Linked DNA regions of Astyanax mexicanus. The protein of the gene in region 2 interacts with the protein of the main gene of each other region in a pairwise test. Links are inferred from orthologs where the notes say so. Each region holds a gene or a part of one and is shown on either strand. Other genes may lie near its edges.

What was found.
Region 1: the proteins of ccndbp1 (region 2) and uncharacterized protein LOC103039245 interact in binary tests that used the Homo sapiens proteins (3 or more experiments, as listed by UniProt). The two-hybrid records come from large-scale screens. The link is inferred for Astyanax mexicanus from reciprocal best matches to the Homo sapiens genes CCNDBP1 and PIMREG.
Region 3: the proteins of ccndbp1 (region 2) and ccdc146 interact in binary tests that used the Homo sapiens proteins (3 or more experiments, as listed by UniProt). The two-hybrid records come from large-scale screens. The link is inferred for Astyanax mexicanus from reciprocal best matches to the Homo sapiens genes CCNDBP1 and CCDC146.

The regions. Positions count from the first base shown.
Region 1 is NC_064424.1:13,213,875-13,224,966, reverse strand, and holds the start of uncharacterized protein LOC103039245, read left to right. Parts: upstream 1-6,383; 5' UTR 6,384-6,488; intron 6,489-7,934; 5' UTR 7,935-7,966; coding exon 7,967-8,254; intron 8,255-9,440; coding exon 9,441-9,733; intron 9,734-10,936; coding exon 10,937-11,032; intron 11,033-11,092. Other genes in the region: tmigd1 (transmembrane and immunoglobulin domain-containing protein 1), read left to right, coding at 347-419, 2,149-2,424, 3,338-3,622, 4,560-4,663, 4,882-4,971. UniProt on the Homo sapiens protein: During mitosis, may play a role in the control of metaphase-to-anaphase transition.
Region 2 is NC_064412.1:55,152,182-55,162,529, reverse strand, and holds the start of ccndbp1 (cyclin-D1-binding protein 1 homolog), read left to right. Parts: upstream 1-5,487; 5' UTR 5,488-5,553; coding exon 5,554-5,659; intron 5,660-6,557; coding exon 6,558-6,617; intron 6,618-6,718; coding exon 6,719-6,798; intron 6,799-7,200; coding exon 7,201-7,282; intron 7,283-7,737; coding exon 7,738-7,834; intron 7,835-8,024; coding exon 8,025-8,098; intron 8,099-8,271; coding exon 8,272-8,348; intron 8,349-8,461; coding exon 8,462-8,721; intron 8,722-9,865; coding exon 9,866-9,926; intron 9,927-10,109; coding exon 10,110-10,156; intron 10,157-10,348. UniProt on the Homo sapiens protein: May negatively regulate cell cycle progression. May act at least in part via inhibition of the cyclin-D1/CDK4 complex, thereby preventing phosphorylation of RB1 and blocking E2F-dependent transcription.
Region 3 is NC_064409.1:35,911,367-35,922,440, forward strand, and holds the start of ccdc146 (coiled-coil domain-containing protein 146), read left to right. Parts: upstream 1-6,365; 5' UTR 6,366-6,573; intron 6,574-9,273; 5' UTR 9,274-9,276; coding exon 9,277-9,426; intron 9,427-10,571; exon of another isoform or gene 10,572-11,074. UniProt on the Homo sapiens protein: Essential for sperm flagellum biogenesis and male fertility.

The DNA.
Region 1 (11,092 bases), on a different chromosome or scaffold from region 2:
AGCAACCTTTGGATTTCTGAGCAGATCTGTTATAAGCTCACCGTGCTCTCAGTCTTGGTAAGTAGTTTAAAATCATTTCAGTGTTCTCAGTCAGGTCTTCTTTTTCACTTAATTTCCTCTGTTAGTGTCTCATCTCTACTCTATTTCTGAACTCTGATTTAATACTCTGCTCACTTTGGTTCAGATAAAACTGACAGAAAGAAAATAACGTTTATTTAATCAACCGTCTGCTTAGATAAATGAAGATTTTTATGGAAGATGACTGTAAAGTGAAACATGAAAAAAGTGTCTCTTTTATCACATTCCTTTGGTGTTTTATTCAGGACGACAAAGAAGTGAGTAGAAAATGAAGCTTTCAGTTTGTATCCATCTGCTCCTACATCTACTCCTCTGCACCTGCTGTATCCACTGTACTGACGGTGAGAAATACAGAATGTACTTATTTAAAACAGCTTAAAGTACTAGTATAAAGCTTAGTATACAAATTCATATGTTACTGTATTTATATTTCTACTGTTGAAAATATGCATTTACATTGGAAGATTTATATTCAAATATAAAAAAATGACTTCAATAACCTGTTGTTAATGTAAATTTACAGTGAAGCTTTTTCTTACATCCAGCATCTACCAGAACAGGAAATATAGTTTATTAGACGTTATTCTTCTTGTTCTGCGTTACAGTTTCTCTAAAATAAATAGATAACCCTTTAAACTTCAAAGTGATCAAAGAGTCAAAGTGATTACAAATCAGATACTGTGAATTTACTGATGACTAGTATAAAATAAAGAAATTAAGCCCAAAAAGCTATTTGTAACTATACAATAATAATGTAACTGCAACAATAACTTTTCTCATTAAATGTAACATAAGAAAAAATAACAAATTCTAAGATTTCAAACTTCTAAGTAGTACAGTAGTTAAAGTATAGTCATAGTACTTACCAGCCACCTCTATTACCTTAATGCTTTATTTTTGAGCTTCCCTTTGACCACATTGTTTCCCCTCCATCATACCTTTTTTACTGATTAACTGCTAGAAGTTAGAGCTTTTTATATTGGATATTGTTGCACAGGTTCAGCTTAGTGTATGAGTTAACATCAGAAACACCTTCTGAAGCTGATTTGTTTTTAATTTTTATAAGTACTGTACATTTTGTATGACAGTCAAATAAGTATAAAATATTCATATTCATAAATCAGACTACCAATCAACTTATCTTAGACTGGACCCAGGATTTTGATCAATTAACAGGTTGACATCTCTACTTCCCTATGTTTGTAATATATGTGATTATTTTTTATAAATATACAGTGTGCATAATTGAAAAGAAAAGGGGCTAAAACCATAATAACTGAGGATGGGCTAAATCATTTACAGCACTTTTTCTAAACCCCTAACCAGGGAGAAGCAGCTTTTTCCTGATTCAGCACGAAACGGGTTTGATCATTAGCTTGCGTGTTGACTAAAAAGAAGGGTTAAAATCTGAACACAAACTCCAGTATACGCCAAATGTGAGCATACAATACAAATGAATTGATAACCAATGCTACTCAAAACAATGAATCAAAATATAGTAATAAAATGAATAAACCACATTAATAATATAACATATGATATATGGCCCAAAAAAGACAGAGGTGGCCAGTTAGTACATGTATCTATAAACATAGAGGAACATAATCTTCATAAACAGCAATGTACCTAATTTCCTTGTATTACTTGGATGACCAATGGATACACAGATCTGTACAGCTCTGTGATTGGTCATATCTCTGGATTCTGGGGCTTTCATTAAATGTTAGACTAAGAGTGTAGAAAAATAGAAGAACAGAGTCTAATAAACTTCAGTTCTTTTGCTTATAGATGCTAGATGTTCAGAAAATTTAAATGAAACACAAAGATTCAAATCTTCACCAAGAAAATGCATTCAAGCACAAGTACAGTATGTTCATTTCGTTTATCATATAAATAGCTAAAAAGAAGGCATAGCATAGAAAACTATGACATGATAACATTTCATCAACATTGTCTCACTATTTGCATTGTATTTCAAACTACAGACATCTGTTTGATCATGGTTTATGATTCAGTCCTATCCACTGTTTGCCTTTTTTGTCTAATTTGTGCTTTATTCAAATTCACCAGTCTTAATTCAGTCCAATCCAGCAGCAGATGGGAGCATCATTAAGACAGAAGTGGATCAGACGGTGTCTCTGAGCTGCATGGTTGAGGGTCTTGCAGATGGAGGTGAACTGGAGTGGTACCGCAACAAACGACTAGTGAGCCTCACAGATGAGAACCGTATGGAAGAGAGTCATCTGTGTGTGGAGCCTGTTACCACAGAGGACAATGGAGCCATCTTCACCTGCCAGCTTAAGGCTAATGCTAGCCTGAAAGCCTCCATCCATCTGGAGGTCAGCTGTAAGTTCAGGGGAAGAGTGGCACAAGAAGGGGGGTTACAATACATCTACAGTTTTATCTACCTTTTATCTACAGCACAACAATTTACTTATGTACCTGTTGTATCTGTAAATGGAGAACAATATGAGTTTCTTATCCTCTGTTCACCGGCCTGTACTCTTCAGTATTCTGACACTGGACTACTTGATAGATGTGAATACATTTCTGTTGTTTCTGTTATCATACATGTTAAATATAACAAAAAACTACATTCATATGAAAATAATTACTATTATTAAGTTGTTTGTTTAGGTAACACCTATTAGTTAAATTACTGTAAAATTAAATTCAAGCACAATATCCACGCTGCATGAATAGCAGTAAAACAAGGTTTTGGGTAAACAGTAATTAATCAATAAGACAAAAACTACATGTTAAACTACTGTTTTAACATTGTTATTTCAAAGTATTTGTAATTTAACTATGCATTCATTCTATAACTTAATTGATACAAAGAAAAACCCCACTGTCCTCATTTATAATGACATACGTACCAAATATAGAATATATCTGCCCAAAATCCTTTATTTTATTCTAGTCTTTGATACACAGAGTGCATTATTATCATTATTACATGTTGGGTTATTGATTTCTGGAGAAATCTGGTAAACCTTTCTGTATTTTCAGTTTGGAAAGCTCTACTATAAACAACGCAGATTATACTGAATGTTAGACAGCTGTTAAAATGACCCCCCCCCCACCTCCCCCATTACAGTTAACCCCATCTGTGCTCAAGTAGTAGCAGAAACCATATGTTAGGTTGTATCCCACTGTCTCCTGCTGTTAGTAAATACACTTTTTTATTTGAACAAGTTTGTTCTAATGCTTATTAATCATTGACAAATCTATTATTTGTGAAATCTCTTTCTTTCAGATCCCCCAGATCTGAACGGCAGTGAGGAAATGCATGTTGAAGAGGAAAGTGATGCTGTTCTGTCCTGTAATGTTCAGGCCTTTCCTCCAGTAGCTGTAATCTGGAAGAAAGATGATGCTGTGCTAGATCTTTCCACCAGTACCTACCACACCAGCAATGATGGCGTCACCGCCAAGCTGTCCATCTACAACATCAAGCGCAGTTCACACCAGGGCCAGTACAGCTGTGAGGCAACTTCACCCACCTACGGACTAAAGAGCAAAACCTTCATCCTCATCGTTGGAGGTTCGTGTGTCCTTAAAGTAATCCTCATAATTTCCAAAACTGCCTATTCACCCTCTCTCAGCAGGCTGTCTAGGAATGATAGCGCTACCAGAGTGTGCCAATTTCTCCGCAGTTTATAGTGTTTTTTTTATGTCCCAGTGTCCTCCACTGATTTTATAGGTAGGTTTAATTACTGGTAACGTCATATTCCTGTTTTTATATAGAGGTTTCCTTGTATGGCCAGTTTTAATAGTTTAAGCATGAGATATAGGTACTAATTTTAAGTTTGATTAAATTCAATGCAATTCAATTTAATTTTCAAACGTCTTTGTATGGATAACCTCACTGTGGTTGCGTTTTCATAAAAACACAAGTTTATCCATTTTTATTTCTCCAAAGCAAACAAATTACAAGATTAAGTTAAGCAAGCAATGAAGCAATAGACGATTTACTTAAAGAATAAAAAAAGGTTTTGCCCATTATTTTTTTAGTACTTTCCTTTTTCCCTTGGCACTTTGTTATATTAAGATGACAAGAATAGAAATATGACTTCATAACAAAATTCTGTATAAGTGAAATGTATGCATTTTGAAAGCTTTTAGATTTTAGAATACTAAGCTTTTAGAATACTAATTGCAAATTACAAATATATACTAATCTAAAATACTTAAATTGTGATAATATTTCACTGTCAAATGTAATTTAAAACGACAAGTAAATATGAATAAATACACACTGCTAAAAAAAAAATGTTCTGGCGCTTATTTTTTTAAGTGCAATGTATTAAACAAGGGGTGTACAAATGCAATGCAACTGAAATATTCCAAGAGAACTCAAAAGTAGAGACTACTAAAATATTCTTATGCTTAATATATATATTGAACTTTGGAGACTTAAAAAAATGCAGCAAGTTTGAAGATTCACTGAGTACAATATACTGGCTTGTTTCTCCTAACAGATAAAGTAATGAAGTTCCCCCTGTGGCCCACAATTGCTGGCATTGTGGTCGTGCTCCTTACAATGCTGCTAGCTGTCATTTCCAGATGGCAGAGGGTTATGAAGGTAACACATTTCGGCCTCAAATCTAGTGTTGTACAAATGTGTTGGCACCCTGGAGCCGATTTCATATTTTATTGATTAATGCAGTTAATGGATGCAGTGTAAGAAGCAGCATTTAATGATCAAAACACATTACAAATTACAAAAAAAAAAAACATTATTCAAAACACCAATTTGCCCTGTTTAATATGTTTCTCTCTGATTCTACCATTCTCTCACAGAACAAAACGTGTCTCTTTTCCCTCCACAGTGCTTTAAAAGAATCCACCATTAGTGACCATCACCTTTGGGATTCAAAGTACTGTTGCTGAACTGAACCACAGGCCTGCCCTACTGGAATGCTACTGCATAACAACAATCTCCAAACAAAACTTCTCATATGAAACTCTACACATGTAAATAAAATTAATTTAAAAACACACCATTACTGTCTGCATCAAGTCCTGCATTTTTGGAACTTGTCATTTGATAGAAGTATTTGAATAAAGTAAACCATAAAGTTTTGTAGAGACCTTTCTTTACACTTGTAAAATGCAGATCTAAATGCTAATTACATTGTGCAATTGCTCCCTGAGGCTCGTTAAAAAGGTGTTATACATTGACTGCTGCTGAGTAAAAAGGAGACGCTGCCACACCTGGCACGTTTACAGCCTGGTATCTCAATGTCATGGCAATATAAACCTATTAAAATTCTAACAATTACGAATTCTCAAGGCCAGGTGAAAGGTTTTCCTCAATACGAACTAAAGGAAGGGGTCACTGTAAATTTGAATGTGTACTGTAAATGTCTGTAAATCACTGTCTGGCAAAAAAAAAAAAATCTTGTATCTCCATTTTTTATGTAATTCACTTTGACATCCTTTGAATCTGGCAGTTGTACTTTACATTATGCCAAAATTAAATGAAGTATGGACTAATAGAAATGCTCCAAAGTGAATAAAACCTTAAAAGTTGCTGTTAAAACACAAATGTTTTGTGTGGTGTTTTGTTCGCCAGCCACCATTGCTGCTGTACTTGCAGTATTATCAACCATTGTGAATAACTGTTCTAGGTATGAGTAGCTCGACTACTATTTTGCATTGCTCTGTAGGATAATAATGCATACCTCATTTAAAAAACTCATGGATATATTATTATACTCTATATTACATGTTAGCTAGCAACATACTCAAAAACTTGTTAGTTCTATCTATTAGTAACACCACATATATTAATTGTTCATTTTAAATCTAACAGTGTTATTTATTAAATGGTGAAAAAGTTTGTGTATTGTTTTAGAAATGCATTTTTAGTGGGGCATTTCTCAATACAAAGAGAAAAAAACTACATTGTTTCATAAACACCACATTTTTTTTGTTTTTTAAAAACTGAATTAATGTTTTTTCAAGTACTACTACTCATATTGTGTGCATTTTCTTTGTATTTTAGTTGCAGCTGTTAATTTCAGCAGTTACAAAGTTACTGGCTGTGTGAATAAAAAAGGAAACAGTCCGTTTAGCATAACAATACAGCGCCTGTTGGGATGAATGCAACAATGCAGAGCATTGGAGCATCACCTTTATTCGGCCTATTTGGCTTGTTGTCTGGTTTTAATCGCAGCATGACGGAATAATAGACCAATCAGAAGTGGAGGGAGGGACATATGAGGTGAAATATACCAATCGTTGAAGAGAGTGTTGGGTAAATTGGCCAATACAAGGATCAGGAGGCGGGGCTTGTGGTGCTCCTGCATATTGTTTAAGGGCGGTCCGCCAAATTCAAACAGTGAAACACGGAGAGAAAGGGCTGCGGTCGGTCCGGTGCTAAAACCCTGCAGAAACACACAACGGTAAGATATCGGTCTTTATCCTTTTTTAGCTGGGTTTTTATCTGCAGTGAGTCTTTTATAGGAAGATGTTTGTCAGGGAAACAGGTTAAGGCTGAGGATCAGTATATAACGTTCAAATCCAGGCTGGGGTATCTTACTAACCTTAGCTAACTTAGGTTTTTTTTTTCTATGCCAGCTAACCTAGCTAAGTTAGCACAGGTCCCGGTGTAATGCGTATCAATCTTGTTAGTAAGCTAACCTAGCTAACTTAGCTAACTTATCTGATTTCACTCTACACAGGATTACACACGAAGGTTAGCTAGCTAGCTAGTGTAATACAGAACCATTGTATTGATTTTTGTGAGTAAATAATAAAACATTGAGATAATGGTAAGATCAAAATCTTCATTAGCTAGGTAAGCTAATTTAGCCATTATTTTCTTTTACCAGTGTTCTGAATACCTAACGTTAGTCTTCCTGATAGTGTGCACTCTTTCCTGATATCTTTGTTTGAGTAAAATTTTGCAGTTTAAGTTTTTGATTGTATTAAGCTAAATTTAAAACAATTAAATTGGCTATAAAACACATAATTACATACATACCTACATTTAGTAAAGTTATGTTTTTTATTCAATTTTTCCATTATTTAGTTTTCTTATTTTAGCCTTTTGTAAACAGAGTTCCAAGAAAAATTAAAACTTCAATTTTTTTTTAATTTTATGTGTCTTTTAACACATCTAATGTTATAATCCAACTTGTAAACTGAAAAAATCTACACAAACTACATTATAAAAAATAGTTTTTGTGACCAATTTTCTAATTTCGGAAAATTAACAGTCGGAAAATTAAACTGCTAAATGTTAGACTGACCAATGTCACTTTACAGGCTCTGATTTATAAATGGTCAATATGTAAATAGTATTTGCAAAATGCATTAGAAGTGGCAGATTATTTAAACAAAGTGATTTTTTTGAAATTATTATTACAAATTCCCTGCATACCCTACATACAAAAAGGAATGTACAAATCCAAGGCTCTATGTAGTTAGTTAACATAGCTACATTTTACCAGCAAATAAGGTGTTCCCAGGCATAAGGGTATACTGCACTGCAAATTTTTTGAATTAATGGGTTAAAATAGCCTTCTTGTGTTGCAAATATTTACATACAGATATCACAATGATGATAACAAAATTAAATTGCCTAAAGTGTTTAACTAGCTAACACTAGATAGGTCAGCTAGCTAGCTAGCAAGTTTAGGTTAGTAAGTTTGCTAGGTTATATATGTAGCTAGCTATTTTCTTACCCCTCAGATGTTTTAGCCAGCACTGCTAATTAACTAACTTGTTAAAGAACATTATCGAATTTTAGTTAGCTAATAGCTATAACACTTATGTCTAACCCATATGACATTAAAATGTTTACCCATGTACAAACGTTCCTCTTTCTGGGTCCCCTCCTTTCCCAGGTTCCCCTCCTTCCCTTTGTTAGACTCTCAGTATGGCGGCTGTGGTAAGTGGTCTTTGGCGGGCTCATAGTGTCCTGGCGGACTCGGAGCCGAACAGCTCTCCTGAAGCTCCTCAGCAGAACCTCCGCAAGCTCCGCTCCTCCAGCTCCCTCAACTCTCTCAGGATGTCCCTGCGAAAGAGGCTGCCCCTTAAGACCGTCCAGACCAACACCAATGTCCCTGAGAATCCCACCTGGGAGACCCTCGAGATGAACAAGAAGACCAGTGCTGTGACTCAGATCAAACGCTCCGCCAAGAACTCCATTGGCAGCGCTTATCAGGTACTCTTCCATTTAAACAACTGCCTTTTAGCCCTCTGTTTTACCTGGGTTGGCAGTGTTCCACTACACCAAGTAACTATTATCTATTCAAAGAGCTCAACTCTCTTGGCCGTATTAGTGCTTAGTGTTGGTTTTGCTAGATTTAGAAACCCTAAGGTTGCATCCTGCAGAAAATCAAGTTCATATGTGACAACAAGTTATTAGGTGAGGGAATGAGATCCTAATGTGTAGCCACAACTTGAAGTTTAAGCACGCACAGTTAAAAAGAAATGGGATTTCACTTTATGCATTTATATCAATAAATTTGGGTGAGTGGAAAAATGCATCACAATATTTAGGGCATTTTTAATTTAACAGTATTTGCAAAATGCACTAGTAGTGACAGATTCTTTAAACATGGTTTTTATTTTATTTATTTTTCTTCTACCAAATGTCCTGTCATCCAGTTATACACCACAAATTAAATTAAACCTATGTTCTTTAAGTACTGGTGATATCCACAATATGCTCAGAAAAAGCATAACATTTACTATAACAAATTCACTACAATATGATAAAATATTGTCATATTACCCCACCCTAGGAATATATGTGTATGTTCAGTGTTTTTAATGTGAACATATGGTCAATACAACATTTGTGAAACATGCAGCAATGTAGTGTTTCCAGGATTTCCACATGTCCTAGAAAGTTTAAAACAAAAAAAAAGGATAAAGTTAGGGAACCTGGCTACAAAAACAATACAAAAACAACAATGCTGACATATTTTTAGTTTTAGTTTAGTTGTGATTTTTACTATAAAATGTTGGGCCCAGTTTTCCAAAAGTGTCCCAAGACTCCGCTAATACACTCATATGGGACTCATTTGGGTGGAACCTGGGCTAGGTACGTTTCAGGGCGAGCTGGGTTCCGAGATGTTTTTTTCACATCATGTGTTTTAGGTTTATTACGTGTAGGATCCATGTGTAGTGTACAACCCAGATGAGGCCCATGTTAAACCCCTACTTGTCCCAATACCAACCCTAAATATCCAATTAACATTTTACATTGGTATGTGTTTTTAGTATAGTAACTACATCAAATGTAAGTTTAAGAAATTAGTCATAAGTAACATTTATGTGTTGACTATCGTTTGGATTAAACTTTTTTACCAATTCTATAAATGCATGTTTCTGTGTACCCACAGAAATTTCAGAGAAGCCGAGAATCACGAGAAGAGTGTCTGGTGCGGACACCAGGGAGAATTATCGAAGGTGAAGAAAACGACTGTACAACTACATGCACCCCTAAACGCCCGGCTTCTCGCAGTGCTGTTACCCCAAGACGCACTCCCAGGTCTGCAGTCAAGCACACTCCTCGAGGAGCACGCACCCCAGAGGCCAGTAGTTCTGCTGTGAGAGCAGTACGAACCCAAGGCGGCAGGAGACAGCTGGTACGCATGGCGGCTCTTAGAAGCCCATTCGCATCACCTAACAGGAGGTGAGTGGCCTGTATACCTTTTAATGGACAAGCATATGACGTGTATCTCATTTCTTTAAATGTGCATCATCTCCTGTCCTTACATTACATTACATTTCTTCTTCTGAAGATGTGAGGAAGCAAAGTAGCTTTTTTTACTGGTGGTAGTGTACAACAAATTTTTAAACACTATCTTCAGAACATTTAAATAATATATGCATGTCTATTGTGTTTCATATTGTAGGCTTCTTAATATTCTTAATATTGTTCTTTACATTTTTTTTATTGAAATTCAATCTTTATTTTGATTGCCGGTAGCTTTTATACCATAATACAATATCCATATCCAATTACGGCGCAGTGCAGCTAGAGAGTTTTTAGCATAGTCCCATGTCCCACTGCAATTAAGATGTACACACACAATGCACTTCTTGATTGTTGCTCTGGATATTTCCTCGCTCATCAATTCCTCCGAGTGCATTTGAAGAGCTGATTCATCCTTAAAGATGGTGGATTTAATTGGTTTCTGGGTCGCAACAGTGAAGAATCGATGAGACTTCAATTAGTTGAAATCTACTCTTTGTTGCAGCGGTCCTTATTTCGGTCTCATTAACTTGATGGTTTGGCCCTGTAGGCACTGATGTTCACAGGTGCCTTTATACTAATGCCTTTATTTTACCTGGAACGCTGATAGAAAAAAAAGAACTACAGTATTTGCTTTCATTAAGATACTAGGAAATTATTCAGTCCAATATGAAGGTTAAAATAAAGAATATTGACTGGAGGAAGTAATGGTACTTAATGGAATAGAATATATAGGTTTTTTTTATGTGCAAATGGTTTGAATTTAATTTTGACAAAGTGCACACAGTATTGGATATTATAGTCCATTGTGTTGACTCGTGGCATTAGGAAGGATGGCAGTATATTAACAATAAAAAGCTTTGTCTTGCCATTTTCAGTAGATTTTTTTTATTTGCATTGAGAGGGAGAAATGTTTACTGAGGTTGATCTGTAATGTAAAATTCAATGCTTTTTTCCCCCCTTATGTACAAATGAAAAACAACCATACAATAACATGCATGTTTTGGAATCTGTAACTATCCACTTTCTGTATGATTCTATGTATTTTGTGCTCTTTAAAAAATCAGAGTAATTTAACTGTGGGCATTTTAGTTGTGTATAATGTATGCATCACTTCATCAGTGTCCCCTTATATCATAGGCAATTTGATCAAGATCTGGACTGTGTATCCAAAGGACTCCGGAGACTGAGGAGTATATCGCAAGCTTTCGATGATGTCATTAAGAGAGATGACCGGTGAGTTGATGGTTCTTATTTAAAATTTAATCCCCAGATTCACAGTGACTCAGCAGCTTT
Region 2 (10,348 bases):
ATGTAAAAAAAAAAAAAGAAGAAAAAAAACATGCAAGAAGTAAAAGATTAACCCTGCATGTCTGAGTTAATAATTTCACAGGTCACTTTGTTCTCTCAGAAGGGAAATACATGAGAGTACGTTCACTTCATGCAGCTCCTCCGATTCATTGTAAAACTTTGACCCATATTAGCTTATGATGCAAGAGTTCTCCCCGGAGCGTCACCGGATGACGTGCTGGATGGTCGGTATTGATTGGGAGGCTGGTCGGAGGCTCGTCCCCGCAGCGCAGAGCCGAAGGTTGCTGCAGTTCTGCTGACGATTGTTAAACGTGATACGCTGTGCACTTGCGCCAGTTGTTTGGTTGAAACCCGAAGTTTAATTGGAATTTAAAGATAACCTGGGAGCTGTAGAGCAAGGTTCTATCTGAACTTATAGAGAACAGGGTTAAAGTTATATGAACTGCCCTGCACTGCAAAAAAAAAAAAATATATAATTCATTTTAAAATGTATATTTTAAATATTTTAAATATGATATCAGCATGACTGGTTTTATGTTTTTATTCATCTCAGACTAAAAGAAAAATTAAATAAAAGAAAATAGAATTACTGTTCATTAAAAACATCAAGTCTCACATTTGTTTGAAAATAAATGTATCTGTATGCAGTCTACATATAATAAAACTTAATTTAAAACAAGTAAAGTGCAGGTAGTGTAGGATATGACAGTGTTTTAGGGCCACACTTAAAAAAAAACAGTTGACTTTAAGAATAAACTCGTAATATTACAAGATTAAAGTTGTAATATTACAATATTAAAGTCGCAATATTATAGGAACAAAGTTATAATATTATGAGATTTAAGTTAGGAAAAGAATACACCACAAACATAAGCCACATAGGTAGAGAATGCTCCATCTACTGATAAACCATAAAACAGAAAGGCTGGTTACAGGTTAGTAGGGTTATGGTTATGTGTGCAGACAGACGGTACATACCAGACAGATACGTCTGTACCAGAATAAGTGAAAAGTGCTTAAAAAGGGCATGCTGCATATGTTTTTGCCTGATTATTCTAATTCAGCACAGGAGCATGAAATTATTTTAGTGAATATTTTATTCAGAGTGAAAAAAGTACATCAGTGCAGTAAATGTGTAAAAGATAGGTGATTGTAGAATAAAGTCTCCTGTCTGGTAGGTCCAGTCACAGGTTAATCAGTATTCCTGATTAAAATTCATGAAGACAAAAGTAAACTCCATGCAAGATTATTGCAAAATTCAATCAGGAGATAGATTAAAAAATGTCCAAGTCACTGAACACCCTCAGGAGTAGGAACACAGTACAATATAGTAGACGTGACCATGCAAGAGGTCAATATTAACTTTATTCTTCTTAAACAATTCTTTGGTTGAACAACTTTTGTGGCTTTTGTGGCCCATTGTCATGCTGCATGATCCACGTTCTCTTGAGATTCAGCTCATGGATAGATGTCTTGACATTGCACTTTCAGAATTTGCCATAATTTGCTATAATATATAATATAATTCTGGATTTGTCCTTCCATCAGTGATGACAATTGTGCTCTCTCGGGGCTCCGGCAGCTGATGGCAAGTTCCAGGACCAGGATTTGAACCAGTACAATCTCCTGATCGTACTGTCACTGCCTTAGTCTGCTAAATCACGCAGAGCCCCCATGTTTATTAGTGGTGATTTACACATAAAATACTAACATTTTGGCCTTTGGTTCCTTAAAAAATGTATGGTGCAGGGAATACAGAGCTAAAACTACAGAACGTGTGTAATGTTTGTCTATTCAAAAGGTTCTGCACAGTATACTGTCTGTTCCACCTGATAAACGACCCATTGATAAAAACTAAAGTCACTAAAACAGAGTACAGAGAGATCCAGAGATAACAGCACTGGTTATTGTAGAGTTTTATGGTCATAGAAATCAGTTAAATGCCTGATTTTTGCATAATCCTGTCATGAAGTTTAGATCTTGTTTTTAAATGCAATATTGAAAAAGGTTAAAATCTAAAACTTTAAAATGTAACATCTCAAAACAGCTGAAAAACAATCATTTAGCAACTTTGAATGAGTTTGTTTTTGAAAACATTACAAACCCTTGGGGACATCTTATCACCACCACTGATTAGGAACGCTGTAGAAGAGCACATGCACACGCTGTAGAAGAGCACATTCCTATTAATTTTTAAAAGCCTGATGGACTTTCCTGTAGGAATTATTAATTCGGTTAAAATGGTGTAGTTCACCCTAGCCCTAATAACCTTTACCACACATTTCAAAGGTTTGCTGATGCAAAATACTCATGTTTACCCATTAAGAAAAGAGGACATTGATTATTACCTCATTAATTACTCGCTATAGTAGTGCTTTAACCAGCAGAGTTCACAACAGATCATTATAGATTAGCTAAACGTGCAACCTGCCAACAGATTAGCTTGAATGAGGCATAAACAAAACACACAAGTAAAACTTAAAACAAGAAAAAGATTATTGTACAAATGAGTCTGTTATCTTATTTATTGAATTATTATTTAGTTCATTGTTTAGTTATTTCTATTTCTATTGTAAGTTATTTTATTTTTTTATTTGAATAAACAAGTCAAAGTCAAAGTCAAAGTCAAAGTGGTTTTTATTGTCATTTCAGCTATATACAGAGTACACAGTGAAACGAAACAACGTTCCTCCAAGGACCATGGTGCACATAAACACAGTGTAGACAGAACAATAGTGCAACAGTACAAAAGTGCAGACAGACAATACAACACAATACAGACAAAGAATAATAAATAACAAGACAGTGTGCAAATTTTGCAGTGTGCAAAAAAGACCAGGTGAGGTAGTAATAAGTCTATATAAGCAAAATTTAGTTTTTTAATATATAAAAGTTTTCTATTTTTAAAAAAATAGATATAGTGTAGTATAAAGGAAAGAAGGAAGGAAGGGCTCTAATATTCTATATAGAATACATTCATATGCTCAGAAACTATATTGCCCATTGACGTCCATTCACAGCTTTGTAGAGACAAGGGCTTTAAACATTGACAGCATCAGACCTGATAACCTCTTTCACAGGGTTGTTATTGTCACGTAGAGCTCAAACCATTGAGCCTGGGGGTTGTTTATCTATATAGAGGTTATTTGTCTAAAAGAACTTTGAGAGCTCGGTTTTAAAAAATAGATCCGGTGGGAGGAACAAATGGCCAATTTGCAAATCACATCATAAACTTCTTGGTTTAAACAATTACTTAGTTCTGCTCTATCGGCTGAGCAACAGCCATCTTTGCACAGACAACCAAGGCTACATAATACAGATAAAATCTGTTATCTTTTACCTCAGTGTTCCATTATTTGTCCACAAACAGTCTGTGTGGATTTAAGCCTTTGTTCTGGCATAAGTAGCATTATGAAACTTTTTTCCCTTTTTCTTACTGATTAAAATCTTAAAAAATAAAATAAAATGAAGATACAACACAGAATTGCCTGCATTTGACCATGATATCAGCTACTTGTTTATACAATGTTTATAAACATTTCAATAATTCTCACACATTTGTGACAAACTGAACATCTTCTGCCCATCTTTGCTCCTCAAAGATTTGTATGCCTTCTGCTTTTGTACCAAATTAGTGTATTCTATTTTCACGCCTTGCCCCTGTGCCATTTAAATAGCAAGTCAGGTAGAATTGAGGTGGGTTTAGGTATATTTCTTAGATATGGAAAACACAGGTGCGCCACTGACTGAGTTGAACCCTGACAACAGTCAACTAACTGTCAGACGTTCATTGCTATCTTGGCATTGCAGGGACGTTGCGCATACACACAACACACGCAGTAGTGCACAAACCCAAATTTTACCTAAAAAAAACTAAACATTGCTGTTCCCGTAAATTACCTGAGCACCTTCACAGAATGAACAAGCAGATCAGCTTCATCTGCTGAGAAGTTCAGAAGCCCTACGCCATTAAAATAGTTATCCACCAAAGACAGAGCACACCTGGCTCTTAAAGGGAATGGAAGTGACATGGTGAATGGATTATTTCACGTTACACCCAAAACACACACCTGAATAATTAAGAAAATTAGCACATGCCTTTTGGCATACTTTTCCTGTTGTTACGATAGCAAAGACACACTGCACAGTTCTGGTGGAGCAAGTGAGCAATGTTTATTGGACATTAGATAATGGTGTTATCTACCATTATGTAAAGTCTCCTTTTACAGAACTGTTAAACATGGGGAAAGAATCGTTATTAGTCATTTTCAATCCAAAAATGAGCTGATAATCCCTTATCTCAGTTATCTGGAACTGGATGTTGAGGTCTGTGTTAAGGTTGGTACAGTACTGTGTTGTGTGTTCTGTAGTGTAAGTCTTGGTATTATTCTTCTTGTCACGCAGTCTCTTTGTGGTGTTGTTGACAGAGTGAATGGGAGGGGGCTGTCGGAAGGTTCAGTCTGTTCCAGGGGGTGTGACAAAGTTCGCTGTTACAATGTGTTTGAACTGAAGACTGGTGAAACATCTTTGACCATTGTTTGAGCCCCTGGACTCTGGTTTACTGGCTTACTTCTCCTACATTGATTAAATTGATTTAATGTATTATATATCTCTATTTATGAGTAAATGGTGCAGTACAATACTACTGGAACATTACAGGTGCCAGTGGCTTTAATGCAGAAAATGAATGCATCTAAACCAGATATTTTCCAGGGACATTTAGAATTTTTTTTCAAGACATTGAGAAAGCATGGCTGCAAAAGAAGAAGTTTTATATAAATTTACTCATGTTCAATGATTTTGAAGCTTTCTGTGATGAGGGAGACATGTCTGTTCAGGATCTTGATTTGTGTTCACCTAACAAAATGGATAATTTATTTAAAAACTGTCACGTTCTTTAAAACGTACATTAATTGTACAGTACCAGTGAAAAGTTTGAGCACTTTTCTCATTCCAAGCAAGTGTCTACTTTAAAGAATCTAAAACATAAAACATATTTTGTTTTGTTTTTCTTTAGTATTAATATACAATGCAGAATTTTTAAATAATGAAATACCACTACAAGTAAGATGTGTCCAAACTTTTTTTATTATGTATAATGTATAATGAATTATGTAATATTATGGGCTGTAAACATTCACGGAATCTGAGAAGAATTATATAGAGCTTAAAAGTTTTGTATTTAATGGCTTAATTCTAAATTTTAATCTTTTTTATGTTTTGGGATTTTTTAGTTGGTGAAATGTGCTGTACATAATACAAATCCAAAATAATTTTCAGATAAACAAAAAATAGGATTCATACATTTTCAAATTTATAAATAAATTATATATATTATATATTATTCACATATATTATTGCAGGTGATTCACATAACTTATGGCCTACATTTTTATATATGTTAAGTTATTCTGCAATAATTTTTAATATATAATTTTAAATACATACAGGAGTAGGCAGTATTCAAATACATACAGGAGCCCCTCATGAACACATTCCGACGGAAACTAACCGGAAGTAGCCAGTGTTTTAGTTCCGCCTGTAGTTTACCTGCATGGATTCAGCTGCAGTTATGAGCGCTGAAAACTCGTGTGGAGATTCTTTACTGCCGCTACGGAACTTATTAAACGCAGTAAAATGTATTAGAGATCGGGTAAGAGGTAAGAGCGGCGGAGTTTCCGTTAATATATCTGATTACTGGTGTGCTAAAAGTAATGTAAACAGCCCTGGGAAACAGCTAGCTTAGCGTAGCTAACGCTAGCTAACTATCCCTTCAGCTGTCAGAAATAACTTACCCTAACGCAGCTTGGTTAGCCAGTTTAGCTAAATTAGCTAACGCTAAAGTTGTCAAGTTAGTGTAAATTAATCGTGTTGGTAGAAGAGACTGTATAACGGCCAAACCATTAAAGTTAACTATAACTAACCTAGCTATACTGGATATTTAAACGTGTTATCTTAAGACTGTTAGTTAGCTAGCTAGCTAGCTAAGTTAGCACTAGCCATCTGGGAATAACACTCTGTATCTAGCTACGTAGCTAACTGGCTATGTTTACTGAGTTGGGCTGGTATCACAGCATGTTTTGACATGATAAGGACTTAGAAGCACTGGGAAAGTCACAGTATGTGACAGCGATAGTGGAATAAGTAACGTTACACAAACCATTCAGTAGCAATACTCTTAGTAATTGACAAACTTAAGTAATTTATAGAAACAATTGCCTCTACATTACTTCATATCATTCACCACTGTTTTAAGTAACTTAACTTGTTCCTCACATTTCTGAATTCCAAATATTATCATTCTTGTCTATTCATCCAGTCTATTCAATACTGCCTTTCCATGTGTCTTTACTGTTCTTAGAGTCCTAACTAGACAAAATCCTTGACTAAACAGTATAGCAAGCAACAGATTTTGTTAAAATGTGAAATCTTAGTATTTGGGATTGAAACAAATGCACTTGCTATCAATTCACTGATTAATGTGTTGTTAGTACTGTGTATCACTGATGTAGTGCTATTAGATGTTAGCTAATAGTTCTTTTGTTGTTTTGTTTTCAGATGGAGAATCAAATGAGTCTAACGGGGACTTTAACTTACCAAACTTCTGGGAAACGATGAGTTGAGTGTCCTCATGTTCACATTTACTAAAAATATATTTTGGTTTGTGGCTTGTCTAAGGAATAATCCAACTGAAATATGTGTTTTTCTCTACTCCACAGCTCAGACAGTAAAGGCTACTTCACAAGAAGCTACAAAACTCAGTCTAGCCTTCTCCAAACCCCCACTTCCATCAGAGCAAGTACGTCAGGCTATTGCCACCATGTGCTATAGGGGTGGCAAATTTTTAGATTCTTATATGCATCTTGATTTAGATGTGGATGATTCTGAATCTATTCACAAATGCAAAAAACAAAATAGATTCAGATCAATACATACATAAAATATACACTGTAAGCACGGATAAGTTGAATTTACTTCAAAAAAATTGAGGAAACCGGTTGCCTTAAAAAAGTTAAGTAATGGGCAATAAAAACTTAGGTTAGCATAACTTAGAACATCCCAGTCAAACATCCCAGTCAAACTCAGTTACATTAAAATATTATTATTTAAAAAGCATCAAAACTGCCCTGTGATATTAAAATACAGTAAAAACCCTCTATTATATATTTTGAATAACAATGACTCTCTGGTCTCATTCAAGGATTGTGAAGTGTTAGCAGAGTCCATTCAGAAGAGCATTCTGGCGTTATCTACAATTTATTACTGGCTGCCTAAGAGTGAAGGTAAGTTGCTCATTCTAATCACTAATTTTCCTGTCTAACTAAACACAACATTCTACATAGATTTCAAGGCAAACATGATAAAATCAGATATTTAAGTTATGTTTTATTATTGCCTGTTAACCAAGAAATCGTGGCATTTTAACTGTGTGATTTGTATTCAAGACACATACCGGTACCTTAGAGGAATAATTGAGTAAGTGAATAATTCAGTATTACCTGTGACCTCTAGCAGTGGGTTTTCTCTAGGCTTTGAATTCTAACTACAAAATAGAAATTCAACACTTAACTCAATAATCAACTCAAGACCTTTCCTAAACAGCAAATGCAATATTTTTGTTAAACCCTTTGAATCAAAGCTTTAAACCCTTAAATCCATTGAGGTTACACTTAGACACAAAACTGCAGAAATTGCATCATGGTCCAAATATGTATATATGGAATTTGGTTTTATACAGGCATTACTCTGCGTAAGCTTGTCAGAGAAGCCACTGTGGAAGTTTTGGATGGTGTTGTTCAGCTGCTGGAGATCCTCCTGTCTTCTCCTTTACAGAGGTATTTAAAATGGTCTAATTTCAAGGCAATACATCTTATTGTTCATCTCTGATAATAATTGTTGTTGTATTACATTACATTACATTTAGATAATGATCTTAATGAATCCTACTTAGAATTTTCACCGTATTTAATTTACATAATAAAATAACTTGATATATTTACTTATTTGCTTATTTGTTTGTTCTAGTTTATCTCAGGAACAGCTAACATCTACAGGAGGTGTCTGGGCAGCATGTGATCAGTTTGCTCAGCTGCCAAGGGGTAAGTTGGGCTACGTTAATGGCTTTTATTAATGCCTTGAAAATAAATTTAAACACTGTTTTTTTACCTTCAGGTGTTTGCTTTCTGAACAATTGTGTGTATGACCTTTAATTTCATTAAATTCTTAACTTAGAAATCTGTATGTAGAATTTCCTTGTCCGTTTTCCCAACAGATAATCGCACTGCAGTGTTACATGTATTGAGTTCATATGTTGGAATGGTGAAGGATGCGCTAGAGGAGATGAACCAGGTGGGTAGCCAATTTCTGGTAGAGCATTCGTGCAAAGTGCAGAGTCCTGTAGACTCTAAATCTAATAACTATACGTCTAAAAACTATTCCCATCCTTTGTGTTCTTCCTGTAGGCACTATCTGAGGAACAGGACCCTTTCAATGATGTCCTGGATGATGATGAAGATGACCTTGATGCCCGTGGAAACCAAGACACCTACTGGTCCCAGAGTGACCGGCAGCTCATTTCTAAATGTCTGGGTCTCATTAAGGCTTCTGGAGCATGTCTGCGGAAATTATCCAGCGCTGTTAATAAAAATGGAAAAGTCGACACACCTCACAGCGTTACTCAACTAGACGACCTCGCTGATATCACGAGAGAAATCAGCCCAGGGTACGTTTTTTTTTAAAAACATGAATTATCTATTGTGGGATTACTTCTTTTTGGGTACCACTTTAAAATAAGACTCCTTTATAAAGGGTTTATAAATAGTTTATAAAGAAGTTTATTAATGGTTATAAATTAAGTTGTAAATACTTTAAAGCATTAATAAGCACTCACAACACACACATAGAGGGATGAAAATAACTTTTTTAACATGTCTAATAAAATAATATAGAAAGTCAGTTTAGTCATTTCATGTTATTTAAGTTGAATAAATAAAGTTATTAACAGAAATGGTAATGATGAGCTTCCAGTAGGGAACAGTATAAATGAATGTGGTACACGACAGGCCACAGTTGCCCTCTTTATTTATGTGTTGTAACTGCTTATTGATGGGTTATAACCTAATAAATAACATTTCTAAACTATTTATAAACCCTTTACAATGTAATGCACATTCAGAGGTCTTGCACAAAGTATTGAAGACCAATTGAAAAAGTCTTATGATGAATAGGTTAAAACAAAAGTATAATAAAAAATGTATTATAGTTACTGAAAGTAAAACCAGAGAAAGGCATTTATAAATGTGTGGTAATAAAAAAAAGTCATAAAAGAGCTAACCCACTGTCTGACATTATTCTTTACATCTAAACTAATGGTTAAAAACCAATACTGTGTTTTTGAAAATTGATAGAGTATTGCAAAGCATATTGCTGTACTGTTTCAATATATCAGAATTAGTAGCATTAGTCAGCACTATTCTGGCTCACTTTGCCTACACTCATTATTACAGCTGTACTGCTCATATAAACCAGAGCTGATTCTCTTATCAGTGATTCTCTTATCGAGCTGGTCTGAAAAATGGTTTAGCACTGCCAGCCAGAATAGACTGGTGTGTCTGAGCCAGATGTTTGGTGAACTTTGTCGGGGTGGCACAGAGATTTTTTTGGGCCACTAATCATCGTGGCAAGTTACATCTTTTTATTATGATTATTTCAATTGCATTTTATTAAATTGCAATTAATTGATTCTTATTTTCTGCTAAAACCTGTAATTGTGCAGAACGTTTGTAATTTGACCTAAAAATGTATATGTATTTTCTACAGAATTAATTGCTGCTGTTCTTTGCCTGTTTTTTTATTTTTTTCTTCAGTGTTGATGACCTGATCCTGAGTCTTTATCCACCCATAGACTGCTCCGCTGTCGACCAAAACGTAAGACGTTTAAATGATTCTGCACATCAGTATTTTCCTTATGTTTTGCTGAACTTCATTGTTGATCAGAATTAAGACTTAATTCAAAGCTCAGACTAAATGAGTAAGGCCTTTTTATTCTGTCATTTTAATTGGGTAAAATATTTGTATTTAATCAATGTTTCCTCCTTGTTGTTGTTTAAGGTGTGCAAACTGGCCGCCATATTAAGGAAAACACTTGAAATCACCAGGTAATGCAAACCTTCTCACATTCAGTTTTGATATAAAATTGAGGCAAACTAGATGAAGATTTTCATGCATTTTATGTTATGAAACTAGAAAAGTACTGAGTTCTGATTGTAAACACAGTAAATAGATTGAAGCAATTCTACAGTTCAGACCTTCTGCTAAAATTACACTTTAAAACAAAAAATATCTTAGTT
Region 3 (11,074 bases), on a different chromosome or scaffold from region 2:
TTTTTTCCTTTTTAGGCTGCTAAAGACTATTGCATTGGTTTATTTTTATTTTAAATATAACTGTTTAAGAGTTATTCATGTGTCCACTCAGGTAGGCAGCAGACATTTCATTTGAATGTGTTTAACCGTCCTTAACAGTCAAAACAAGTGGAGCGGAACTGAAGAAATAAAGCAAAAAGGAGGCTTCCCTGAAGAACAAATATTACCTACAGAGATGTGTAGGTAAGTCCATCCAGAACCTGATGGACTTTTTCACCTTCTATCAACCATCGTCCTCCAAACCAGTGCCCATAGAAATTAGTGACTTTTAACCCTTTCAGACCTTGCGACTATTACACTGGACATTGTTTAATTCAATTTGACATATTTACATTACATTACAATTACATTACATTTTTATTAGCAAATAAAAATGATCTTAGCCTCACCCACTGCACAGGAAAAACAACAACTCTGACATTAGGGCATGGCAGCATTAAAGCCAACGCGGCAATGTAAGGGCTACTAATTTTATTTGATTTAGACCAAAACTTTAATATTTTAGGTAATTGAATTTTTTTATATTAGGATCACTAGAACATAATTCAGTTCTGAAAGGGTTGAATAGCTGTCCACTGTAGTGATCACTGCACGAAAGGGCTAAACTAAATTTGGCTTACCTATACTGTGTTTAAATAGTTTTTTTGGGCAATACCACAGAAGAACCACGTTTGGTTCCATATAGGACCATTTTTATAATAGAGATGTAGCAGTATAAAGAACTTCCAAATCAATATTCTGTAAGTTTTAGGGGGTGTAAGTTATTCTCTGGTGAGAATATATAATTCCAGCATGCATTCGCACCAGGACACTGATATTATTCATTTGAGTACTTTGTCCCCTTTGTCCCCTGTAAAATAAGACAACCTTTCTAAAGTTTGTTTGTGTTATAATTGATTATTAATTATTTTAAGGCATTTACAACCTAATTAGTAACCATTAATAAACAAATTGTATACCATTTATAAACCCTTTATAAATGTAGTCTTATTTTAAAGGGGTACCAAAAAAATATTTTTTCAATTTGGTAAAATCAAAGAAACTCATCATTTTTAAGTGTTCTCTTTTTTTCCAGAGCTGTATGAGCAGGTGTTCCCAAACCTTCTGTGTTTACATGCACTGAAAAAGAGATGCATTGAATTAGCTTAATTGCAATACATGATTTAAATATGAATAAAATGTATAATGATAAAATACAAAAATTCTGGTTGTTGACTTGTTGATTTAGACTACAGTTTTTTAGTCACATGGAATATGACTTATGTGCACATCTGAGTTAAATTAATTCAGTGTTCAGTGGCTGGCCTGAGAATTTTCTCTGTGGTCAGTGGGTTGAAACATGTTCAGCGCTGGCATAGATTTAAACTGTTGACAGTCTCTAAGGTCTGGGTTGAGCAACACTGCTATGGAGGATAACAGCACTGTGGTCTGAGATAATTTTGTACTTTTGTATAAATTTCACATGAATTTTTTTCCTCTGCTCTTCCATAAGACTCTTGATGCTGGCAGCATTAGACGTGGGTAATTTCTTCCATCTACCCCCACAGACACAGTGGCCAGTGCTCAGCAATTGTTCCACCACAATCTTTTCAGCTGGTTTTCTACCACCCATCTTTGTCTTTTACACACACAAGTACTATTTTAGAGTGTCTACACATGCTTTACTTTTAATATCCATTTTTAATTCTAGATTTTACCATTTACTCTTCTCATTAAGTGTGTATCTTAAAAAAACACCAGTCCAATGTATTACAGTTGCAGCCATTGGTAAATCCAGTACACTATTCAAAAGGAGTGATATTACAAAAGTGACACCTATGGTTTTCTAAAGAAGCTCTATTTGGTCCTCTATAAAAATCCTTTTTTGGGGTTTTACAATCTAATCTTTTCTCTGCATCACCTTGTCAACAGCTTGGATTGTTGGTAGGTTTGGGACGTAACAGAACATAAGTATTTTTAACAATTTTTTTCATTAGTTGGCTTGATTTGTTATTTTGACCTTTGCTCACCCCTAAAGCCACATTTCAATAAGTCAATAAAAAAATTCTGGTTCATGCATTTACACAGTGTCAGAAGGTTTGGGGAGAGAGCCCACTCTCATTACTTGTTACGACATGATTCTAGACCGGGTCGTAACAATATGAGACATTCACAGAAATCTAAATATTTTATGATCTTCTTCAGGGGTTTTAAAAAGGTTTAATATATTTGTGCTTTCTATTCGTTGACAAATGAGAACAAACCTCTGTGACTAAACAAAAACTTCCTTTTTTTTTTTTATTATTCCACCAAAAAACTGAAATGTCTTAGTACATGTAATATTTTAGACATTTATTGTTGTGACATTTTGTGACAAATTGTGTGATCTATCTGTCTACATTTTAAACTAAATATTGCTCTGTTTAGCTATGAATCGTGTCAAGTCTTTATGTATTTTTAAAAACATGTGGCATTACTGTACATATCCTCTACTCTGTGTTTAGGATGGTTTAGGAAGCCAGACAGTCTGGAAAGTCAATCAAGCCTTCTTTTCCAGTGTGCTGAGGACAAGCCCCTTCCATGTCATGACATATCCATATGTGGATTTTTAAAGATAATTTAGTTTAAGTGGCATTTTGGGCTAAATTTGGAGAAACAACTGGTCATATTAGTTGTGCTAAGCTTTTAAATTGTATTTGTTTGACATGTTTATCGCAAAAAGCTAAAATCTTGTACATTTAGCTAATAAGCCTATAATTTGCAATGGATGTTGTATAATGTTGATTACAACTGTATGTTACAGATGCAGCAGATGGAGATTAGGTTAAGAACTGCTGAAGTATTTCTTTAAAGAACTATTTGTGTAGCTCTGAAAGAAAGCTCTTTAGTGGAATCAGTCCAAAAAACCCATGAGACCTATAGCATAGACATTCTACTGTCTAATGTCTCATATATTTGGCTCACATTTGTTATTTATTTGCCAATGTCTCTATTCTCTAAGAACCAATTTTGTTCTATTTATCATGCATTTATGTCTCTCTCACGCTCTCTCTCTTCTCTCTCTCTCTCTAGTTCTGTTTCTCAGCTGTTTTCGGAGTTACCGTAAGCAGGTCACTGCTGGGGGCTGTTCTGGTCAGGCTTCAGAGACAGAATCTCCCACATGCTCGTAAAACTTTGTCTCTGAGAGGGGTACGGTGCCACTTTTCACTGCATGCACTGATTCATAAAACCACAGATGTTTTCTCATCACGGCTCGTGTACCAAACTCATGATGTAATGTGGTACACATTTTTGTTGTTTTTTGCTTTTTTCCTAAAAAACAAAAAGACATTTTCATTAGCTTGATGGAAGTTCCTGGATCAGAGCATACATGTGTAAAACGGCTGACAAAATCCAAACACAATTTCTCATTTTACAATTGTTGCTTTATATTCTACAGCAAGGACACACAGTGTTGCTGATGCAAAGCAGCAAAAAATGATAAGACCACTCAGAGTGCCCCCTAGTGGAGCATGTGCAACCTGTTAAACATGAGCGAGTCAGTGAGAAAGTGAGTGAATTAGAAGCCTACCAAGATAGCAATGAACGTCTGACTGTTGACATCTGTTTCCATTGCTTGTGACATTATTAGCTGAAGCCAAGAAAACATTGTATCCACAAGAAATATGCTGAGGCCTTAAGATAGCAATAAGCATTGCGACGTGTCTTGCGCAGAGAGTTCATAAACTAAAAGTAAGGTCCACTTTAAAATTGGGGTTATCTAACCCCCATGCTTACGGTTTTCTCCATGCCTACAGTACTGTCAACACTAGCTAAAAAGTAATAAACCTTAATGAAAATATTAGCTCTCTGGACTATAAATGATGCTGTTTTTTTCTGTGTTAGTCTGCCGTTAAATCAGCAAGTATCTCAATCAACTTGCATTTCAAATTTGGAACCTGTATAATGCAATATGTGAAACTAAACCAAACCATAGATCAACAATTCTAATCTTTTTTTTAAGACATTTTAAGTTTTTTTTAGGGTCCACATACATCCTGTTCACATAAGATACGAAGCCAGCTAACTGCTAAAGTAACTTGCCATTAAAAAAAAAAGTTCCTGATTTAAGAATGGCTGGAACTTCTGACAGACATTCTCTTGAGTACAAAGTATGCGAAACAGTCATCTTTGCAAAACATATGGCAACTATAAAGTTCTGCTCATAAACATTTGCATGGCATTTTCCTGATGAGCTGAAGAGAGGAACTGATTATGTTCAGGACTGTGGAGACACCAGCAGAGAAGATGAATAGAAGACAGGATGGAATTCATTCATGGATGAGTTCCAAGGTATAGGTCAGGACACATCCTTGAGTAATATGAAGAAACTTATAGTCAGTTTTCTACATGATCTGGCACTAATAAACAGGATAGGAAACAGATATGTGCAAGGGTGAAAGGTCACAGTACATAAAAAGGATATGATCAAGGCAGTTTGGTGAGCTCGCCAAACAAAGCTGCAATAAGGAGGTAACAATTAAATGAAGATATACTTTGGTTTAGGAAATGGAAAATGAGGGACAGGACTTGGAAAAACTAAATTAAAGGGTAGTGTACTAAAATAAAGGGAGGTCTGACTTGTGGCTTGGCTTGTGGAGAGACAGAAGGCTTTGAGATTTGGCAGATGATATTGTTTTGTTACCGATAAGCAGAAGGAGAAAAACAGAAGGGTTTATTGATATGGACAATTCTCTTATCACTGTAGCAGTAAAAACTCATTGGTTTATGATGTTATGCTGGGAGTTATTTTACAAAATGGGCTAGTTCTGGCCCCTAGAGGACACCTTAGGTATAGTCAGGGATGAAACCAGTATATTTCTGTAGTTTACCAGTGAGGAGGAATGTAGGGCTTGCAGGGTGGCAGGAGTGTATTTATACATAACTTTTTACTGGGACCCAGTTAGGCTTCCCCATATGGGCCTTATCATTACAGCCCACCTTAATCAAACATGGGTCCCATCTGGGCCTCATGTGCAGAGTTCATTCTACAAGAGTTCATGTTTAACCCCTCCTCATTTCATCACTGGCCCTGATGGAGCCCATTACTGACATCCATATGTGGGACCAACGTGGAACCCATTTGCTCTTTTCATGCAGCCGCCATTTTTAATTGAAAGTGAGGCTTTGATGGGAGGAAGTAGAAGTAAGTCCACACTCAACAATGGTGTGGACCACATATCTTCAGCTATAACCACGTTTAACCATGAACCATCTAGAAAAAGGGCTGAAGAGGGATGTTTATTAACAAGAGCAGGATACAGCAACTGCATAGAGGGGTACATCACTAATATCGTAAAGTGTTAAGGTTTTAGCCAACATTAGCTAACCTTGCTAATGCTAGCTAGCTGGGGCTAGCCCGACTCTCCAAGTCCGGTGAAAAGTGCTGCTAATGCTGCTAGCCCAACTCTAAAAAGCCTAGTGAACATTATGTAACTACATAAATATATAATTCTGGAAACCTTAGTTCTTTAAACATTTTTCTAAAGCATTAGCAGCAATGTTGACAAGTTATAGCTAGCTAACCTAGGTTTAATTTATAACATGCTAACCTAACTTTAATTTATAACTTATAACTAGCTAACCTAGCTTTAATATATGTTATAACTAGCTAACCTAGCTTTATTTATAAATCATAACTAGCGAACCTAACTTTAATTTATGTTATAACTAGCTAACCTAGCTAGGAAAACGTGGGATAATACAGGCAAACACGGGGTCAAACAGGCAAACAAGAGGGTAATATAGGTAAACACAGGGTAATGCAGACAAACACAGGGCAATACAGGCAAACATGGGATAATACAGGCAAACACGAGGTAAAACAGGCAAACATGTTAGTATATATCTTGCATTCTACCTCATTGCGTGCACATATGTTTTTACTGGTACTGGTTTGTACATATGTTTTACTGTGTTTTACATACCACCTTAAATACCCTGTAGGCTCCCTGTGTGCAGTGTAAAACCCAGCTGGGGTTCATGTTTATCCCCTCCTGGTCCTATTATTGGCACTGATGTGGCCCATCACTGTCATTTGAATCTGTGTACAAACAAGATCTGCATGATCATCCAAAACCAAATGCCAGCGTTCACACTTCTTCTCCCATCTGAAAACTCGATGGAGCAAATATCTCGATGTAGATATTGTGGTGAAATCACATATTTTGTTAGATTTAAGCTTTGACTATATGGATTGTGGTGTTAAGCACATCAGAGTGTCTGTTTTTTCAATCAGTCATTTATCTCTTGCATGTCCTCTGGATCTACTGATGCTCTTCTGGCGGCCTCTAGTGGAGAGAGCTGTATCTACAGTCTCGAGCGGTTGGTATGGAGACAGCGGCAGCCTCCTGATCAACAGAGCTCAAACTGAGATTTAATAGTTTCACTGTTTTAGTGAAGCGCTTTATAACAGCGAGCTTTAAACAGATTTATCTTCCTGTGGAGGTGTGTAGCTTTATTGTGTTTTTTTTTTTTTTTTTTACCGTGAAGCAGAAAACCTATTCTGGAGAGACGGTAAGTCGAAGGCACTTATTTAGCGTAACTAAGAAGCAACAATAAATGTAACGTTAACTGTAACTAACCGAGCTAAGTTAGTTAGCTTAGCTAGGTTAGCTAATCACTAGGTTTGGTTTGTTAGCTAGCTAACTATTACTTGTTAGTTAAATAACATAAACTAGTTCATTAAGCTAGTTAGCTATGTTAATTAGCTGAGTTGCCTGTTAAATGAACTTTACCCACACCGCGTTTTTCAACTCAGTTAACGAGAGTAAACAGCTGGGTTGTGTTGTGGGTTGTTTAAGTGTGTGTGAGTGTGTGAATAAATATGACAAATTCTCTAATAGTTTGTCACTGTTTTCCCTAATTGTCAATTTAAAACAAATAAAGGCCATGCAGGTAGTTACCTACACTTGTAAAAGTAAAGTATATTAAGTATATTTTAAAAATATGCTTAACCTGGAAAAGTACATACTTTTCCAAATTAAAATATGTACTTAAATAAATACCAAATGTACTATTTTTGAACAACTTAAGGTAACTTAAGTTAAATATATTTCAGTTGTAATTAAGGTAACGTTATATTTAAGCACAACGTAAAAGCATTAAATTGTGCTTTTGAGTGCTTTTACTTCTGTGAACTAAAGTAGATTGAAGCAACTTAAGTTTTAACACCTTTTTTAATACACTTGAAGTATATTGTAAGTGTACTACTGTGCGTATTGATGCACATAATGTGTACATCTTAATGCTACTGGAAAAAATACACTAAAGTGCTCTTTAAGCAGTATTCAATGCCATTATATATATATATATATATATATATATATATATATATATATATATATATATATATATATATATATATATATATAATTTTTTTTTTTTTTTACTTATTTACTTATATTTATATATCTATTCCTCCCCCACACCACTGCACCTTGTTTTTGTCTCATGTATGTCTATTTGTGTCCCTGCTGTATTGTACACATAGTGTCTCCCATTTTCCTTTATTATATCTATTATCTGTACTTGCTGTAAAATTGGGAAGGAGAGTAACGTCATTTCAATTCTCTGTATGTCCTGTACATATGCAGTATTGACAATAAAACTACTTGACTTGACTTGATATATATATATATATATATTTTTCAATCAACACATCATTTAAAGCATTGCTTAAAAATACATTTTATGTAAATACAGAGAAAGTATATTTAATATATATTTTTTATAAAGTATTTGAAATTGAAAATGCACTTTTAGTATTTTTTACCCAATTTGAACATACTTTATTGCTCTTAAGTATACTTACTTGCACAAGGGTGCAAGTAGCTAAGCTAAGAGCGTAGGTAAACTAGTTAGTAAGAAAACTATTTTAACTACTTTAATGGAAAGAGACACTTTTGCCTTCTTTAACTGTATTGAAAAAGTATTTAATGGAAAATGTTTATTGGAACGAGTGTCCAATACTTTCAGTATTGGACACTCGTTCCAATAAACATTTTCCATTAAATACTTTTTCAATACATTTAAAGAAGGCAAAATATCAAATGATGCTATGAAATGTGGAACCAGGCAGTAACTAGAATATTTAAATCTGACTGGTAACCTATATATTAAGTAGTTTTTTTTATACTTTTGTAATGATTGCTGTATTTATTTTATAGAATCTTCATAGCTTAAAACATGTGTGCTTATTATCCTTGGTGTGCTATCAACAAATGTTTTAGGTTTGTTTGTTTGTTTAGATTGATTCGTATTATTTTTTTCCTGTACATTTTAGTTACATTGAAACCATTAAAACATTAAACAACAAAAAAAAGAGCTGAGCGCTCCACTAGCTATCAAAATATAGATCAAGATAAGAGAATAAAAAAAACAACAACATATTCTTAGAATAATTTCCTTTTTTCTCAGAGTGGGTTGAATCAGAAACAATAACAAATGCACCTTTTTTCCACTATTTAATGAGACATTGCTGCTGCTGCTGTACCAACAATGTTTACTCTTTTCTTTTTTTGTACTCACAACACTTTACACATGCATATGCACTTTACTCACACAACGTATTTTTTAATTTAATAGTGTTTTTCTTTAATTAGCTTTACTGTTATTTGTACTTCAATGTGTATTTAACTAAGCAAATGATCTGGGGGTTCTGCAGTTGGTCAGGTTTAGGTTCAGCAACAGTATGTGCTGAAAGAATGAGGTCAACTGACTACCTGAATAAACTGAATATAGACCAGGTTATTCCATCAATTTATTTCTTCCCTGATGAACACGGGCATATTCCAAGATGAAATATGCCAGTATTAACGGGGCTGGATTTGTGAAAGAGTGGTTCAGGGAGCATGAGATAATACTCAGACCCTCCCATCATCAATGCAAGATCTTGGTGAAAAATGAATGCAACACTGGATTGAAATAAATCTTGTGACATTGCAGAAGCTTATTGAAACAATGCTACAGCGAATGTGTGTCGCAATCAAAGCTAAAGGCGTTCCAACCAAATTTTTGCCCAGGCAGTGTACTGCAAGGAACTGCAACGTAAGAATTGTATTTATCAGCGTAACTGCTTGTTTCTGCTGTGCATATGACAGTAAAACTCTTGAATCTTGAATGTAGAGAGAATCTATATAAGAGGCAGCCAGCTGTCTATAATCAGTAAGGGTCAGTAAACTGCGAATGACTTTCCCCATGTGCTTGTTTATGCAGATCATGCGTCGACCAGAAGGCGGCAGTGCTGGAGAGGATGAGGGGGCGAGTGAGCCAGAAGTACCTATCCAAGCATTTGCTCCAGAGGCTGATTTACAGGAGGAACCTCAAAGCAACATCTCAGCTAATCCAGACCTGCAGTATATTGAGGAGGTACCAGTCATGTTCCATCATCACAGCTCCCATATGGGCTCTAGAATTATTCTCAGCGTGACCTGTAGGTTTTGATTCCAAAGCACAACTTGATTCCACTTGTTCAACATCTTTGTTTTAGACTTAAAATAAAATATAAAACATAAAAATATGTAAAGTATTTTTATTTTTGTTGACAAATAACTACCATTATCATACTGAGTTTATGAAGTTTGCCTGCTTAAAATACAACTTTTCCCCAAATGTAGTTAATTAGCCAAGACACCTTGTGTTAAATTTAGGCTACAAGGCTAATGGACGTTTTTATCCCAACACTTTGCATCAACAATTAGCAACAATGCTGGTTGGCTATGTAATGATAATCAGGTTTTATGTGTTTTTTGTTTGGGCATAAAACACAGATACCATTCTGGCTCTTAGATTCCCTTTTCTGCTGTCATTAGCTGTATCTAACATAATTTAATATTATGGCATAAAATGATGCATACAAGTGCATGTATTTTTACATGTGTGAATGCAGAGTTAGCATAAAGCTCGTATAAGGGGAACACTGTTTTTTTTTGTTTTTTAATTACACATAAAATTGGTCTATGCATTAAATTAATTCCAAAGATTTTGTTTGATGCTTTGTTTAATTGTAACTTTTATTTGCTGCTCTTCCTTGAACATCACTTTTGCCTCATTCTTTTCTTTCTGTGAAGTCATTAAAACTAACCTTAGCTAAGCCCAGAGAGACCTGCAGTTATTTGAATAATGTACTTGAAGCTTTTACATGAGTTACAGCTGTTGAGAAAATTTTGTCAGGCCGATTGCACCTGTGAAGATTCACCAGTGGTTCAAGGGCAAGGGTTCTCAGTTTGCAGATCATAGTTCGGTGGTTTTAAGTCTAGCCCGATATTTCAACATGTTTTTGTCCTGCTTGTTAAAATCTCTTAACATAAGTGTGGTTTTACATTCAACAAGGCTGACTGTATTCTGTCATCTGGATCTCATTATCTGTTTTGTATCAGAACTCTTTTTTTTTTTTTTTTGAGTTGTTTGTATCCACAAGAGACTGGTGTTCCTGCATGTTTTTTATTCCTAACTAGGCGTAACACACATGGTTCTACTTGTTTAACTGAGCCCTTCCAAGAAATAAGCATATATCAACAATTTCTTCTTTATTTACAATAATATTTCTCACTTCATGAAGGCAGTTAAAATAAAATAACTTATAGTAGTAAAGAAAACAACTGATTTTACCGAAAAAGACAAATGGAAGATATATATTTATTTTAATCTTCAACAATTAATCATGTTTGCTTCTGTTTAGTTGGAGTGAAGCCCAGCAGCCACACATGGCCACTGAGAAAGCTTAAGGTGAACAAATGGTTAATTAAATAACTGATAAACTTTTTATTTGCATGTTCATGATAATGTCAATGAATGGGTATGAGAAACAAATTAAAAATGCATACAAAACTAAAATATGATAGAAGTGCTCCAGTATAGCTCCATGTACAATTTTAGTCAATGGAAAAGCATAAACACAACTTTAAACTGAAGCCATTAATCTTATTTCTGATAAAGCAAAAATATTTTGACACACATAAGCCAGTAATCACCACCATCACAATTTAACACGTTTCACACACAGTATTGTAATCTT